4 linked regions of the Arabidopsis thaliana genome follow. The protein of the gene in region 4 interacts with the protein of the main gene of each other region in a pairwise test. Each region holds a gene or a part of one and is shown on either strand. Other genes may lie near its edges. The genes, in order: AT1G48040, AT1G02210, AT1G22490 and GATA19.

Region 1 (5,354 bases), on a different chromosome or scaffold from region 4:
TGGAATAACTGTGCTTAAGCAAATGATAATCATCACAAAAGACAGTAATTAACTCTCAAAAGAATCATCCACAAAAGGAACAGATCAAAATCGTCAACTATGATCAACAAATTGATTGAAGAAACGAGAGATGATTCGAAATTTGACCTTGGAAGGAATGCAACCGACGTTGAGACAAGTACCACCGAGAGCGCCGCGTTTCTCGATACAAGTGGTTTTGAGACCAAGCTGAGAGGCTTTGATCGCGGCTACGTAACCACCGGGACCGCCGCCGATGATGACGACGTCGTTTTCATCAGATCCTGATGAGGCGAAGCCACGGGAGAGGGAAAAGGAGAATCTGAGAGCGTCAGTGGGAGAGTTTGATAAGTTTCTGGTGAGAAAATACGCCTTCCTCCTAGCTAAACTCGCCATCGCCATTGTTGTTTTAGAGAGAAAGAGAGACTTGGCTCCTTGTAGAGATGAACAGAGCCGGCAAATGTAAAGAGGAGAGGCTCTCTTAGAACCCTTTTTCTCTTTTTAATCACAAATATTTTAATATTTCCTTAATTGACCAAAAATATAGATAAGTAAATAAATCATTTATATGAATGAATACTTGAATTTCTAATCTCAATTATGTACACTAAATATTTGAAATTGATTACAAAGTTACCTTAATGCACACTTGATTTATTATTATTTTCTTGTCAACATTTGAATTACTTTTATAAGTTCTAGACTTCTAATTCATATGTAAAGAAATACACCAAAAAATATTTATGTATATGTAATGAAAAATACTGTATTGTAAAAATTATCAAAAAATATACTCATCAGAAATATATGGACATGAAGATTGTTGGAGGAGAAGAAGATAAAGAGATAAAGATAGAGATGATGAGAAGCAAGTAAGGACAGGATTTGAGGCTTTTGAGATAAACCTCCAAAACCTTTCACAGTCAGAAAGAAACTCTCTGAATTCCACATATATGGGAGAGAGATTCTTAAACCAACCTCCAAAATCTAGATTCAAAATAGTTAAAATTAAAATTCCTTAAAACAATCAATAATGGGTACAACATCACTAATCCTCAAGAACAAAAATGAAATCCTCTTAATCAGTTTCAATAATCCTACCAAAACTTCAGGCTGGTTTTTCTCTCTATCTCTCTCTGAAACAAACCAAAAAAACAGATCAATCAAAAATGAGAAACCACATTACAAACAAGACCTTAACTCTCTATCACTCTCTACGTCTCTTATTTTATCTCATCGAATCGAATCTCAAATTAGAGAAATAATGGTTTGATCGGTAACACCCGATCCCTGTTGTTTGTACATACTGCCAAAAACACTGCTTTCACTCGCCTGCAAGCATTGCTTGTAACCGAGCTCGGGCTTCGTCAGAAACACAGAATCTTAATCTTCTTCTTTGCGGTTGTTTAGGTGAAGACGGAACTGAGGAGAAGCAGATCACTATAACCGTCATATTATCTGATGACTGAAGCCTCGCTGCTTCTTTTCCTAGTTCCATCGCACATTGTCTCGGGTCACCATGCCTCCTCAATCCTTGCCTTACATTACTCACTGCATTCTGGCTTGACAACACATCCCATATACCATCACATGCCAAAATCAAGAACTCGTCGTCCTCTGTTAGAATGATCTGTCCAATCTCTGGGTCTGAAATCAGTGGTGAAGAGGAGTCAGTGAAAGGATTCTTCAGTTCCCAATCTCCAATGGCACGCGTGACAGCTAGGACTCCGTTGAGGTATCCATCCTCAAAGTATCCTCCTAAATCTTCAATCCGCCTTCTTTCTGGCTCATATGTTGATCTGTGATCGAAAGACATATCAACAGCCACTCCTCTCCTACATAGCACTGCACGACAATCTCCAGCATTAGCAACAAGAAGATGTCGTCCGATTATGAGAGCGGTCAAAGCGGTTGTCCCGCATGAACCACTGACAATGGTTTCATCAGCCATGGCAAGATCAGCCAAAGCAAAAGCCTTTCGGTGAGAATTCTCCAGTTCTTCTAAGAAAAACGCGTCCACAATGGAGGGCATCTCTGGAAACACAGCATCTTGGAAAAACAATCTAGTCAAGTTCTCCTTCATGAAAATTGCTGCCTCAGGCCCACCATGACCATCAAACACACCATAAAAAGCACTTGGTACCGAGAAGTTGTAGGATCCAAGGTGAGCTGACAAATCATCTATGCAAATGTGTTCATCCTCCATGGTTTCTCGACTTCGAATGTCAGCAAAGCTCCCTGAACGTATAGTTGGGATAAAGTCACTGGCGGATTCTCCAATGGTAGTAGTTACACAACTCATGCCCTGTTACAACAAATGTACATAAGAAGGTTTGTTTAAGATTCCTGAACTTGGCACAATTAAAGAAACAGAACAGCCAGAACAGAGCATCAGAGTCGTTCCGCTAACAATGTAAAATTGATTCATGAACACCTAAACTAATTCTTCATGCAAAGGTATAAACTTTCCAAAGCACAACACTAATCTTATCATTTTCCATTGTCTACACGAACCTAATCGAAGAGGGTATGTAGGATTCAACATTATTATGCAATAGAGAACAAAAAGAAACCCAAAACTAATATAAGCCCTGATGCAGAATCGGATCATTATCAGAATTTCAAGCAACGGTCTAATCTCAAAATCAAATTATAACTCCTAATCTAAACCAACAAACTCAATTACGAGAAAGAAGAATCCACATGATCTAATTTCTAAGGGAAATTTCTAAGAAACCCAATTAATAAAAATGAGCGATTTTTAGAACAAGAAACCAAAAACACATACCGATCCGAATCGAGGCGTTTCAGCGGAACCCGAAATCTCAGCACGGACAGACTCAGAAACACGAACTTCGTCGATCTGAAAATTCTTCTGATCTTTAGGAGCGGAGATATGGCACTTAACGTCAAGAACCCTGATCTCAGCTTCAGCAACCATTGTTTGACTCAAAATCATGACTTGGTTAATAATCAAATGGAGTAGATCCGATTGCGAATTTCACCGAAAGGCAAATCGACGAATAAATCAACGGGGTAAGAGGTGGTGCTTTGCTTGGACGCAATTGAAATTCGCCTAAAAGAATAAAGAAGACAGGGAATGGGGAATTAGGGTTTGGTTTCTGTGTTGGTTGTTTATTTGCATATTTCTTAATTGACCCATGCCTATATTTAATATAATTTATAAATTTTAATGTATTAAAATACTGTTTTAAAAATATTTATTTTACTAAAAAAGAGTTAATTTTTTAAGCCCAACTTCCATATACCATATTGGACAAGAAAGTGTAATAGATTCTTATATATTCTTTGTGATCTCTAGTTTTCTTATCTACTTTTTTTTGTATATTTAAATTCACATATTTCCCACATAACCGCAAATGTTACTTACAAATTCAATGATTCAGAAGATTCCAAAAATCTAACTGGAACATATATAAACTATAAAAAGACTGTTTTTAAATATTTAGTTTAAATTAAAAAGTTTTTTTCAACTTTTAATTTTCTAAGCCCAACTTCCATATGGGACTCACAAAAAAAAAAGGGAAAGGTCCAGTTTTATTTGAGAATATGTAATAAGTTCTTATACATTTTTTGTGATTTTAGTTCTTTTTTTTTTAATCTATTTTTTTTTGTATATCTGAAATTCAAAGTTCCAACCGAACTGCCTATGACGAACAAATTCAATGGCTTAGAAGATTCTAAAAATCCAACCGAAACATATATAAACGGTAAACATAAGACTATTTGATGTTTTAATAAATTGAAATTGATCTTACAAAAAGAAAATATTTAATTGTTGTTACATATCTATTGTTTTTAAAATGCAGAAATTATACCAAATTAAATAATAATATGAGTAAACAAAGTAGTAAACATATAATATATAATCTAACTGTTTTTTTTTAACGTTGAAAGTTCGCAACAACATTTTTAACTATTTGTATGTGTTTTGCATTTTTGAAGAAAAATCATTATTTGACGGCGAAATAAATTACATACGTGTATTCTTGGTTAAGAAACAAGACAAGTGTATACAAATATGTGTGTGGTGACGCGAGGTTGATGATTTTGAGCATTGGGCGTGACTTCACTGAAGTTGATGATTTGATATCCTTTGTGAATAATTGAATCTTGTTCGTTCTTCTAAATGTGGGTTGACTTTCTTTCTCAAAATGCTCTTTGTTCTCCCTTTATCCTCGACGATCTCAAGGTCGGGTCTTACCACATCTTTGCGACATAATTAATATAGGATGCCTACCGATCGGTACATGGAAAAATTCAAGTTTGGGATCCTACTAAAAAAAATATAGGATGCCTACTGAAAAAAATTAAAATATGATAATGTGTTTATGAGGTTTTAAAATGGAAAAATAATTAATATAGTGAAAATAATTTTTTGTAACTGTATTTCTAAACTTTAAATAAAAAGTAAAATTTAATTGTTATGTTTAGATTCAGAGGGATATATACTATATAAGATATGATTCATTACATACTTTATTAAAATACCCATTTTTGTTAAATCTACAGAGTCCATATTGGAAGTTGGACATATGGACTTTTTCTTAGATAGTTTAGCCCAATGGGCCTATCTCATTTTAAGGCCACGTTAGAGTCAGTCAGCCTATTTTCAAAAAAATAAAATAAAAATTCTTCGTCTTCTTCGTTTCACCATCTCTCTTTTTCTCATCATTCTTCTTCTTCTTCTTCTTCTTCTTCTTCTTCTTCACCTTCTTCTTCCAGCACAACTCCTCAATGGCACGAAATCGGGTATAATTTCTTCTAATCTTACTTCGTTACATATTAACCTTCGTTTTTTTTTCTTATAGGTTTCTTCAGAAATCAATTCAATGAAATTAATACCTTCTTCAGCTTCTGTTTGTTTTCCATCGATGTTTCTTTTTCTACTTAGTTTCGTGCATGTTATTCTACATTGCTGCATACCATTTCTTCTTTGATAATTCTGTTTATGCTGATTTTGACTTCGTTTTATGCTCAATTATGTTCTGGATATCTCATTGATTCATTTTTGGAACTGTTCTTGGAGTAATTTAGGGTTTTAATTTGTCATTTCATTTGAGAGAAATTAGTCCTGCTCGATTTTACTTTTAATTCGATGTGTGTGTGTGTGTTCATCGGAAGCAGGAGGGTTTGGTTTTGGTGCTCGATGTAGGTCCTGCGATGCGTAGTGTTCTCCCTGATGTTGAAAAGGCATGTTCAATGCTACTTCAGAAGAAGGTATACGATCTTTTTCTTCTGAAATTATTGTTCATGAATTTTGGATCTTTCCTTATTGGTTTTGGTTTGTTGTTGCAGTTGATTTACAACAAGTA
Region 2 (3,136 bases), on a different chromosome or scaffold from region 4:
AGTGGTAGGCGCATATCTTTTTATATTCAAAAGATTCATATCCAATGACACAACTAATCAATGTTCAACCGACCTTAGTAGCCAAGTTCCGTTATGGTCAATACGAGAGGTTGAAGAGTGATTAAGCTCAATTATACCAGATTTACCACAACGACTAATATCCTTCCTTATCTTCACTTTTGAACTCTACTTTGCAGACAATATATGCTCTCTGTCGTCAAAGCCCATAAGATATCTCACTAAAACGTTCAAACTCACTCTACGTATAAGATCATATACCACACGTAGACAAAAATTGAACCTACTCAGGCTGATCTTTGTTTCAAGTTTTATTTTTAACAAATTTATAAAGAAAATATACGACATGTATCTTAGTAACCATTGTGTAGAGATATATCAGATTGTGATTTGAAGAGGTGGTCCTGATGTTTGAAACACAACACTCTCAGCTTTAGGCAATAGTTTAACTAAGATGGATGGTAATTTTTACAAATAACATGCACGTACGATTTGTTTAACTATTTCTCGACAACCTAAACCAAATAGGATATAATATATGATCGTGTTAATTAAGTAAGATAATATATATATATATATATATATATATATATATATATGTACCAAATAACCTAAAATTTGATTGTTTTAGGGCTAATCGGCAGATTCTCTCATAACATCGTTGAGAAAAAAGGACACGGTGATTAAACATCATAAATTCGGAATATTACCTGATTAGGAGGCAAAAACGTTGGTTGATACACGTGCATTACCCAATCGGATTTGGATCCATTGATGTTTTCATACGATTGGAAAACCAAAACTTGTTTCTCACCAATTTTAACACCATTACTAGTTATCCACTTGCCAATGATTGGTGTGTTGGATACAGTTTCTTTCCAATAACCCGAATTCGTTTTCAATATTTCTTCGTTATATTCATCACAACTAAAGAAGAACCATACCATAGTATCAGCCCACTCGCTCTTTGATTTGGCTATAATAATTATTAAAAAAAAAAACCTAAATCAGAAATCAGCCTATAATCAATGATTGAATCAGAAAATCATGATCTAGCATTAATTGACCAAAACTTTCATGGCACATGCCAAGGATCGTAACTAGAGATTTTAACGGTGGTAATGAAATGATGATATTGCCTTCCTTGATGCCGAGATGTTTTAGCAGGAGGTAATATTCGATGATAACGTCATCTGTCGGCCGGAATCTGAAATCCGCCGGATATTTCATTCTTATCGAATAAACCCATAAAGTTAAAAACAATAGAGAGCGATGAAAAATGCAAAATAGGGTTTACAATTTTTATATGTAGGTAATTTAGAAAAACAAAATTCTTTTTTTTTGGGCAACATAAAAAAATTCCTTAATTCTGAAGAAGATATAACGAATAAGGTACGTAATTTGATGTATAATAAACGAAAGCAAAGTCTTTGAACGCCGAAACAGAGGAATTAACAAGAAACAGAATGAAAGTGATGTAGAAGAAAAAGAAAGATTACTAAAATTACATGATATAGGATAATGTAAACAAATAAACAATAGTCTAATGGGTTTTGGATTTAGCCATCAACATGACAACATGCACGTGTACATATATGATGTAGACTTGAAAGTCCAAAAAAAGACTCTTGACATTACTGAAATGAAGCATCTTAATTTGAAATTTATTCTTGTTTTCTTTCGTTGAATGGAATTTGTTTATGGGGTTAGGTAGGACTAGAATAGTACTTCGAGGTTGATTGATACTTGATAGGGTACGTCAAATAAAATTTGAGCATTTGGTTAGCTGTATGAGCAGAAATTATACAACTTTGTCTTCACAATGGAGCATACATACAAGATGAGAAAGTAACAAAACAAGATAGACATTATTATGTCAATGGATACAAATTTGTCTTCACAAATTTACCAGTTTTATACATATCACACATACAGTATGGTAAAGTTACAAACCAAGATAGACATCATAGCATACACTTGTACTGTTGTAAATAATTTGGAAAGTAGAAAAGGTGTTATTGATCACTTTTATTGTTATCAAGTTCTTGAGATGGAAGAACATAGGTGAATTTTCTTGACGAATTTTTGTATCATCCTGTGAAAGAAACCAGCTCTTTTCTTCTTGATCGTCTCTTGACCCAATTTATGCTCACCAATCTCAGTCCCTTGTGCATCATCATAAGGATTCTTCTTCTTCTCGGCGGTATCAATACTGGTTATTAGAGCTTGGCTCACCTTGAATCATAACAAAGAAACAAAGTCGTTGTAATGAGTGTTGGCACAAAGTAGCATCATTGATTGTTTGTGTTGTTAGTAGTGATGGCACAAAGTAGCATTAAGGATTGTTTGCCTCAGTGAAAGATAGAGAGATAAGAAAGCTCACCTCTTGAGTTAGTGACACTAAGTTGATTGTTGAGGTAGGAGATTCTTGCAGGTCTTTGATCTGGTCTATGCGATGATTTGAGCTACCAAAACTATCACAAGTGCTCGAAGTTTGAATAGAGTTCTGTCAAATGAATGAAACAAAAACTTGAGCTTTGTAAGGTGAAATACGAAAACAGAGGATTATAAAGGTACAAAAGTAGAAATTTGCTTACTGTTTTTGGAGTTAGCAAATCAGAATCATTATCATCACTGCTAACATCATCACTGAAGACACCAGTTAATGAGTTTGGAGGTCTGTAATCACTTCGATTATCATGCATAAACATGATACTCTTCTCCTTAGCATCATCAATATCATTCAACCATGTTTCCCATTCCTCAATCGGTATAGCATCCTCGATTTGAGCATCATCCTCATCATTCATCAGCCATTTTACCAATTCCTCGGTCAGTTTAGCATCCTCGATTGGAGCTTCTTGCAGCACATCACCAAACTGACTTGGATCTTCTCTGTGAAGTGAGGATCCCTGAAAAAGGGGGAGAACGCAAAAGAAGTCGTTGTCAGATTTAAAACAGAAAAGAAGTTTTGAGATGAACCCACCTCAGAATTGTTGACAAGCTGAGGGATTAAAGAGTCACGACGACTCTGCTCAATTCCACTAACACCAGAAGAAGAAGGAGAAGAGGAAGACTTCTCTCTCATGCCACCATTAAACATAACTTTACAGAGTGT
Region 3 (5,075 bases), on a different chromosome or scaffold from region 4:
ATATATTCTTAGACCAATGTTGGATAATTAAAAAGTATGTTAAATGAGGATGATCATCCACTTCAAAAATAAGGTTTTAAACTTGAACTATACTAAACTACGTATATTCAAAATATTTACTTAGTTTTGGTCCTTTTGGAAGGTTTAGTGGGTTTGTAAGTTGTCCATCATATGGTTCATATATCGAGGTGAAAATAGTTTGATTTCCCACGAATAGTTAGTTATACATGTGTGTTATGGTCGGCTAAATGTTTTTTTTTATAATAAAGATACAACCTTGTATATCAAATTTTTTATTTTCAATTTTATTTTCTTGGGTTACTAGATAGAAAGAATTTGTTTGCATTCAAAGCCAAAGGTATAACCTCCACTATCGTAGGAGCATGCTAAAATTTAGTGATTAACGGATTAAAAGTTGAACCCACAAACTTTAAAAGTTCTAGAAAAAGACGAATTCATCTTTGAAGAAAATAAATTCAAAAATTAATCAATCATACTATTAATCATTATAATTATACACTAAACACAACCCTAAAAACACTGAGAAGTACATTAGGCGTAGGCCTAACGGCTATTAGCGCCCAATGTCACATACTTATCGACTTAAACCATTTTCTTTTATTCAATTTTTTTGTTCAGATCTTTATGACCATTGATTCATTACAAGAGACAAAAATGCAACTTACATAGGGAGGATTAGAGGAATAGTGAAAAAAAAAAAAAATTAGAAAACTGATTTCAGTTATTTCAAAATAAAATAAAAATAAAACAAGTTAATTATAATCTATTTGCTGAATTATGTCTCTTCTTGAATCCTCCTTATGGTTTGATTCAAAGCTGTTGCAATGTCGTCCACGGTATTCAGTTGGCTTCCTTCTTCAACCTGAACCAACACATTTTCTCTTAAGAAATAAAGATATACATAACAATTCTTGAAAAAAGTTGCAACAAACAAAATTAGAAGGATGTAGATAACTATAACAAAATATCTTTCTATTTGCTAAATATCTCCTGAAACAAATGGTGGACTCACTTCGTTGTCCGTACATATCTCATCTACAATTATGTGACCACCGAACATATATCCACAGTACATAAACATATACATAAACATATATAAATACACAACACCACGTATACAATTCGTGGATATAGATAGACACATATTCGTGTTTCGTTTCTTTAGGTTGGTCCCCTGATTCTTACAGGCACGATTAAGATACGCAATTTATTATTGACAAAAATAATAATCAAAATGATGATTATGAGTTTGACCCACAACTATTGAGGCCCCAGCCCTAAGTACCCAAAGGAGGTAAGAAAAAAACAAAGAGAATGATTTTAATTTTTCTTCACAACCTTTTTAAAGCCCAGGCATAACCACAATAGTACTAATCCAAAATTTCCCCCCAACAATAAGAGACAAAAAAATAAATCAACAAAGTGAAACCATATGCACCACACACACAGTCATTACTCACTTTAATCTCATGATTACCCCAAAAGCAAACAAAGTAATGATGAGAAGTTGAAAATGTACGTACCCTGACGCTGATGGAGTAGAGAATGGAGTTGTGGAGAGTGGTGACATTGAGATGAAGAAGAGTGAGCCTTAGGCTTTGTAAAGAAGTTATGAGCTTAAGAAGCTGCCTCGGTTTCTTCTTCGTCATTATCTTGATGTTCGCATGGCTTTCTGCCACCGTAACCTCTATCTCCGCCGGTGAAGATGAGCTTTCCGGTACATCTGATGATGACTTTGTAGAATATTGTGGGAAGCTGAAAAAATCTGTGAATGGACCCACTAACGAGCTAGTGCTAGTCTTGTCTCCTTTGGGATCATGAGTCCTAGTTCTCTTCGGCTCCATAGATTGTAAAATATGCTCTAACTCCTTCACGTAGTTTATAGCTCCTCCTACTATCGACGCTTGATCTCCCTTTACCACCAAAACCCGCTCATGTCAGATCATATAGTTATCATAAAGATTGAAAAAATCTTTGAATGTATAAATATACACACACACGTATCATTGCTAATTGCTTAAGTTTATTACGAAATTGTTCTAAAACATATCCCAATATTCTCAATCATACTCGTTCTAATTTTTGGTGACACATAATATTTTATTTTAAAAAATACATTAAAATATGTAACAGCAAAGATTATTAGTATGTATATAAACGCGTCACCCTTCCATATTTACGGTGGATTTTCTTGTTAATATATTGTATAAAAACATCAATATATATTCTCAGTCATTTTCATTCTATTCTTTTGTGTTAATATATTATGGAGAAATGAGTACTACAGCCAAGCAAGTAATAAAACAAAGACACATATACCTAAGAATGACCCTGACCAAATGATATATAGCATATATAAACATTGAATTAGTAAGTTACTCTTTGAGCATACGACGACGGCATTAGAGAACGGAGCACAGCCAGATACTCGTTCATCTGTTTCCGGCGATTTCTCTCGACGGCGATGTGAGTCATTCTCTGGTTCTCGATCTCTTCCTTGTTCTTGCAGTTTCTCGTTCTCCTCCTCTTCCTCCGGTGCTGTGGAGGAGGATGACTCTCCACATCAATGGCGGTAAGACCAAGCTCTTCTCCCAACGAAGGGATCAACAAAGGATACTGATGATAGTCTCGCCATTGATGATCGTCCTCCTTACCTTGTTCCACAAAGCTCTGTTCATGCCCTAACTTATCAATGTTGTTCTTCGTATCTTGAGCTACGAACTCTTCTTGAGAGTATAAGTCGTGGAACATAAAATCTTTGCAATTGGAGAGATATCCGAATGGATCTTGCGGGTATACGACAGCCTCTAAGGGCATTTTTTAGCCGGAGATTGTTGAAAAGAAAAATTCAGAATTATGGAAAAAATAAGAAAGATTGAGAAACCGAGAGAGGGAGAGAGAAGGAGAGAAAACAAAATTTAGACAGGAAGTGTTTGTCGCTCTCCTTTTTGTCTCGAGGGGGAAATAAAGGCAAAAGGGTTAAGCCCACTAAAGGAAACTAAGCATGGTATTAGTTATATGAAGATTTTTTGTAAATTGATTTACAAAATATTAAATTCTCAAGAACTCACCGGCATGGAGGAAGAATAGGAGAGTGAATCTTCAACAAAAATAAATATACAAAAGAAAGATATGAGAGTGAAAACCGAAATATGAGGATCAAACAAAGTGGTGTGATTTATTTAAAAAGGGAATTGAGAGAAGCTTTGTGAGGCTATTAATTTTTTTTTTTTTTTTTTTGATGCTCTCACAGTTGACCAAAAATAAATGCTCCCGCAGAGATCAAAAACGAAAAGAAAAATAAAACTAAAGAAAAGATGTATTTGTCACCAATATATATATAAAAAACACTGAAAAGGAGATATAAAGTGCACTTGTAATAATCATCCCAATTGTATTTAAATAACTTGTTCATAATAATTAGAGGTTAAGAAAATAAAGAAAAAAATTGTTCATAATGTTTTTAATATAAATTAGTTTTATTATATAGTAATTTTATTATTAAGATGTTAATTGTTTGGAACTATTCCTAAAAACCCATAATCTTTCTTAGTTCAAAATCAAATAAATAATAAATAATTTATTAAGAAATGGTAAAGCTGATATAGTGGGCAGTGAATTTATATTGACGTTCGAGTGAAAGAAAACTGGTGCTGGACTGCTGGTGGTGATCATAACCAGTTAAAACCTCTTTCGAGTTTTTCCGAATATGTATAGTGTAAGGATACACAGATGGTGATGGCTAAACTACTTAAAATTCTAAATATAGCAAAAAATTAATAGAAAAAACAATAGTTCGTTAGTACTAATATGTCATGTTGCGGATTACTTTAACCAAAAAAAAAGTTACGGACTACTTTAACAAATTTTTTTGTTGCGGATTAGCGTTTTCGCCAAAAAAAAATTAAGACGTGCAATTCTACGTCAGTCGGACAAGTGAGTGATACAATAAAACGAAAATGTGAAATTTTCAATTGGACCATAAAAATTCTAAAGCATTATATATATACAGTTACATGCTACTTGTAAACAAAGTTATTTGAGTTTCCAGTTAGGACGGTCTACGCCAATTAATTTTTAGTTCTACGCATTCACATCTGGTAACAATTTTTTTGGTTTGAAAATTAAAATTCTACCAGATATTACCTTAGAATATCTATCCAACTTCGTGGAATTAGATCCATTATCTATGGTTACTAATTACTATTTAGATACATAGATGCATATAGATAAATGTATACATTGCAGCGTCAAGTTTGCACGTGAGATAGTAGTAGACCAGTCCACAAGACCAAATAATCTGTTTGCAGGTTGGGGGTCGTCTAGTTACACTCATGTTCTATTATTTTACTTTAAACAAAAATATAATGTATTTCCATATCAAATATATGGTTAAGTATCCGATTAAAATTAAAAATCTTTAAAACAAATGTTTGTCAGAAAATACACAACCAATAGAAGATTTATTTTGGCCGGTGGGGATCACTTTATGTCAGGTTTTAACAAATTTGTTTCGTGATGTTATTAAAAATATATTTAAATCGAGATATTTACTTGCATGTTATAAAATGATGGTCTATTAAAAATCTTTTGTCACTACTTTTCAACATCAAAAACCAAAAAAGTTATGTATATAAATTAGGTGGCATCTTTTGATTATTCTGATCTAATCACTCTGGGAATATATAATAGTAGAAATCAATTTTGATATGAAAACAAAATTTAAAGAATTAGATAGATGTGACTAGGCTGCGTTTTGTAATCAAATTTGGTCGGACACTTGGAATCTTAAAATCTGAACCAATTTGCCGAAAAAATAAATAATATGTGAACATAAAACTGCAGGACAAACTTTTCATGATGATACAAAGAATCTTGTTGTATGCACTTCAAATTGAATTTAAGCTATAGTAATCTTGTCTCCTTTGAATACGTGTACCTAATGTTATTTGTACATCATCAAACTCAAAATTAATTGGTCGATTATTATTTAATATTTAAAAATTTGTTTCGATCATCCTTTATGTTTATTACTTTTTAATCATTTTAGTTCA
Region 4 (4,198 bases):
GTGTTGTTTGTCTGTTTATAGAGAGAGATTTGGAGCTACTTTTTTGGTGTTTTCTTCTGTGGTTTTTTGTGTTTGGTTCAAAATGATGGTCTTGACTCTTGACAAAACCAGTTTGGCTCTTGTTGTAAAATCTGTTAGTTTATATAAAGACTTTTCATTTTTGTGTAATTGGGACTTGTCGAAGAAAATAACGAATGTTAGTGCGAAATCTAACAACATTCAACCAAATGAAGGTGATATGATGGGCCAAGAAACGTGGGCTGGATTAGGCGTTATCAGGCTTCAACAGCTCAGTTAGATTATAATAAGATTAGAAGTCACGTGAGTGAAGAGACATGACATGTAATGTGAAATTACGAAGTCGAACACTTTGCGTCTTGGGGTAATCGTTAGGGTTAGGTTTCGTGTTCTACGAAGCAAAGAGCATAAGAGACAGAGAGGCATCTTTTGGGAAAGCGGTGGTCGCCGTATCTCAATTGAACCAAAAATTAACCAATCTCAAGACCGATCCGATTCTCTTTGTTCCCTCTCTCTCTGGGTCTCTTGGTGTTCTTTTAATCTTTTTTACTCTTTCCCGTTTCACGCATTTTGTCCACTCGTGTTTGGCGGCACACGACATCCTCCAACAAGATTATTGAATTGATATTCTTAAAACTCATCAATTTGATTGTTTTCCTTTTGTTGAACGAGTGAGGTTTATAGAAAACACAGTTGATATTTCATGTTTGTAATAAAATGAAATGAATGTTGGTAAATAAGATAATGAAACTCAAATAATAGTATATATAAACATAAAACGTACAATTTATTTATTCTTAATATTTTTTTTTTTAGTTGAGAGCTTATAAAATTAGTATAAAAACGTTACACATTTTGACGTACCCCATTACGATAATTGATCCAAAAATGGGTCGGCCGATCAAATTTAAAATTATTTGATACAAAACCTTACTTTGAAAGCAAAAAAAACATAGATCTGTTCTTGGAGATAACGTAACTTCGTTATTTGATCCAAAATTAGATAAAAAGAGAAAGAAGATAAAGGATAAAGAAATAAGAGCTTAGAGCTACAGAGTGTACTCATTTGATGGGTTCATTCTCTTTGTACCCTTTTTCTTTTAAATTTTAAATTTTGGTTGGAGTTTGCTTCTTTGACTAAATCAATAGAAACATAGAATAACTCTCACCAAGCTAAAGAAAGAACACAATGTAATTGCTTTAAAATCATTGCAAAGTATCTCACTTTGTCTTTATTCCTTTTTAGTTCACTTATAACTTGAACATTGGCTAGTTTTGTTCTTTTAACTCCTTAAAAGCACCGATCTTGGCGATTACGATCTCTCATGCTTGACCACAATCGTAACAACAATATTCAATCACATACAAAACAAATTTTTTGATTAAGGTTAAAAACAACATAATTATACGTCATATACAACATTTTATTTGTATTATTACGACTGTCGTTAGAGAGCCACTGAAATTGTAGTGCGGTGAACATTAACAGTGTCGCACACTATTTGAATTTAGAACATAAAATGGATTCATGCATATATGAGAGTATGACACGTCGAATTGGTGAAGCGAGCGATGACGTGTGGAAGAAGAGATTCGGAAAGAGAAGGAGCGTTTAATTTCGAGATGATCGTGATCAGAGAGAGACCAGATCCTTGGAAGACCGTGACATTGCCAGTCACGTGCCTCTTTTTTGACTACCTTCCTCTCTGCTGCTTTAACTGCAGATGTACTTATCATTTATTTTCTTACTTTACCATTTAAATAATATATCAAAACACTGTAGTTTGCTTAGCATTGTTAAACAAGACTACTCACTTGGTACTTGGTCGTGGAATATTATACGGTATGCAATGAATTTGCATAATAATCTAGATTCGGAGCAGTATCATTAATTAATTTTGTTAGGTTAAAACGTTTTGTTATTAAAAATCGCTTAGAACTGAACAAAAACCAACACATATTTAGAATATTCATTGCAACATCTTTGTAGACAAACTAAAGGAGCAAATTCACATGTAAATCTAAAGAACAAAAGAATAAAGCATAGATTAATCATACACACATAATAAGACCGGGACCAAATTTTCCTCTTTTGCCAAGTTCCCAAATTCTCTATAAATACTTCTTGTCTCCATTTCACAACAGCAACGTGGACTCTTTCTTTGTTTTGGCTGACTCTTCTTTCACCGTTTCCTTAGAGAACTTATTCATCTCATAAACACCACACACAACACACACTTCTCTTTCTCCTTCTCTCTATATATTTTAATATCAACTTTCTAGGGTTTCCAAGTTCATATATAGTGATGGGTTTCTCAATGTTCTTCTCCCCCGAAAACGACGTCAGCCATCATTCCTCTCCATATGCTTCTGTTGACTGCACTCTCTCACTTGGAACTCCCTCCACTCGCCTCTGCAACGAGGATGATGAACGTAGATTCTCGTCTCATACCTCCGACACCATAGGCTGGGACTTCTTGAACGGTTCCAAGAAAGGCGGTGGAGGCGGCGGACATAACCTCCTCGCTCGCCGTTGCGCCAACTGCGACACCACTTCTACTCCTCTTTGGAGAAACGGTCCAAGAGGTCCCAAGGTATTTAATATGTAACCTTTACATCAAATATTTTATCATTTCTTGATGTGGGACTAATATTTCTCTCTGTACAACAAAACAAATATTGATAATAACTTTATATGATTTTTAATTTGGTCAGTCGTTGTGTAATGCGTGTGGAATCCGATTCAAGAAAGAAGAGAGACGTGCATCGACCGCCAGAAACTCGACCTCCGGCGGAGGATCAACTGCAGCTGGAGTTCCAACTTTGGATCATCAAGCAAGTGCAAATTATTATTATAACAATAATAACCAATATGCTTCATCGTCGCCTTGGCACCATCAGCATAATACGCAGAGAGTTCCATATTACTCGCCGGCCAATAACGAATACTCATACGTTGATGATGTCAGAGTTGTTGATCATGACGTCACAACCGACCCGTTCTTGTCTTGGAGGCTTAACGTCGCCGACCGGACCGGCCTTGTCCACGATTTTACGATGTGATGAGTGATCATTTCATAGATATTCCCCTTATAAGTCTTAGCCTTGGATACCTTTTAACAAAAAAGAAAAGTCTTAGCCTTCGTTAAATTCTTTATTTTACTTTCCTTTAAATATAAATATTTAATGTCTTTTTTTGGTCTCTGTGTAAGTGTTTTTCTTAAATTTATAATTCGTATGATGGATGCTACTTGTGTTTTCCTTGCATGACTTTTAAAATGTTCTCTCGGGTAATGAACTAATAATTCGTGACTTTATAACCTTTACATGATGTGTGTCCTACTTTGACCACGATTCAGTGATATACTATACATATACAGAATACATATTCATTCCTTTAATTTCTTTTTAAAGCATCTTTGGGTTTTTGTACGGAGAATGTGAATATTTTGGGATGCAGATACTATCTTCACAAATACTTATATCTTAAACGTTTAATTTGTGAGTTTCTTTTCCAAATTGAAATAATCAAATACTTGGACCGAATTTGAAAATTAAGCCAACAAATATCTGCAGGGTGGCCAAGCTGAATGTTTGTCGTGTTTTGCCCAAATTGTCTTGGAAATTTGACCATCAATTAGGTCTTCGTGTGCTGCTCTGCTTAAAACTGTTGCTGCCAACTGCATGTGAAGAATATTTATCTTTTTCATAACGTGTTTAGTTATTGTATTAAAAAAACGTTAGTTTTTATTTGATTGTTTCCGGAAACACAATCCAAGATAATAAAGTGTTTTGAAACTCTATAACAACAGAAAGCGAGAGTAACAATTTTTTTTTGAGTCATTTATGAGAGTCAAGACGAAAAAAGAGTCACTAAACTACTAAATTTGTCTTCCAATTAGAATAATAATGAAATGTTTTTCTATTTTTTCACGAATAAAATTAAATGTCTTCAGAATTTCTACTTTCCACTTTCAACCGCTCCTGACCGGGAATGAGCATATAAGTTGCGATTTTATTTGGGCCTAAGCCCATTCGATATAAATTCCATTCAAAGTCAAATGAAATTCCAAATTGAAACGATTTTTTAAAAATTGGAATATAGACCACCGCCAGATTCTATACCTATAAAACTCTATTTTACCAAGACCTACATATACATCATACAAATATACATTAC

Evidence for each region.
Region 1: the proteins of GATA19 (region 4) and AT1G48040 interact in a two-hybrid assay, tested with the Arabidopsis thaliana proteins (one large-scale study listed by BioGRID).
Region 2: the proteins of GATA19 (region 4) and AT1G02210 interact in a two-hybrid assay, tested with the Arabidopsis thaliana proteins (one large-scale study listed by BioGRID).
Region 3: the proteins of GATA19 (region 4) and AT1G22490 interact in a two-hybrid assay, tested with the Arabidopsis thaliana proteins (one large-scale study listed by BioGRID).

What each region holds. Positions count from the first base shown.
Region 1 is NC_003070.9:17,718,722-17,724,075, forward strand, and holds AT1G48040 (Protein phosphatase 2C family protein), read right to left. Parts: upstream 3,171-5,354; 5' UTR 2,978-3,170; coding exon 2,807-2,977; intron 2,324-2,806; coding exon 1,343-2,323; 3' UTR 863-1,342; downstream 1-862. Other genes in the region: mtLPD1 (mitochondrial lipoamide dehydrogenase 1), read right to left, coding at 148-420; Ku80 family protein, read left to right, coding at 4,777-4,791, 5,167-5,259, 5,338-5,354.
Region 2 is NC_003070.9:426,847-429,982, forward strand, and holds AT1G02210 (NAC (No Apical Meristem) domain transcriptional regulator superfamily protein), read right to left. Parts: upstream 966-3,136; coding exon 702-965; downstream 1-701. Other genes in the region: NAC003 (NAC domain containing protein 3), read right to left, coding at 2,056-2,253, 2,402-2,524, 2,616-2,930, 3,005-3,136.
Region 3 is NC_003070.9:7,937,652-7,942,726, forward strand, and holds AT1G22490 (basic helix-loop-helix (bHLH) DNA-binding superfamily protein), read right to left. Parts: upstream 2,975-5,075; 5' UTR 2,839-2,974; coding exon 2,401-2,838; intron 1,935-2,400; coding exon 1,392-1,934; 3' UTR 946-1,391; downstream 1-945.
Region 4 is NC_003075.7:17,267,789-17,271,986, reverse strand, and holds GATA19 (GATA transcription factor 19), read left to right. Parts: upstream 1-1,987; 5' UTR 1,988-2,324; coding exon 2,325-2,612; intron 2,613-2,733; coding exon 2,734-3,081; 3' UTR 3,082-3,298; downstream 3,299-4,198. UniProt on the Arabidopsis thaliana protein: Transcriptional regulator that specifically binds 5'-GATA-3' or 5'-GAT-3' motifs within gene promoters.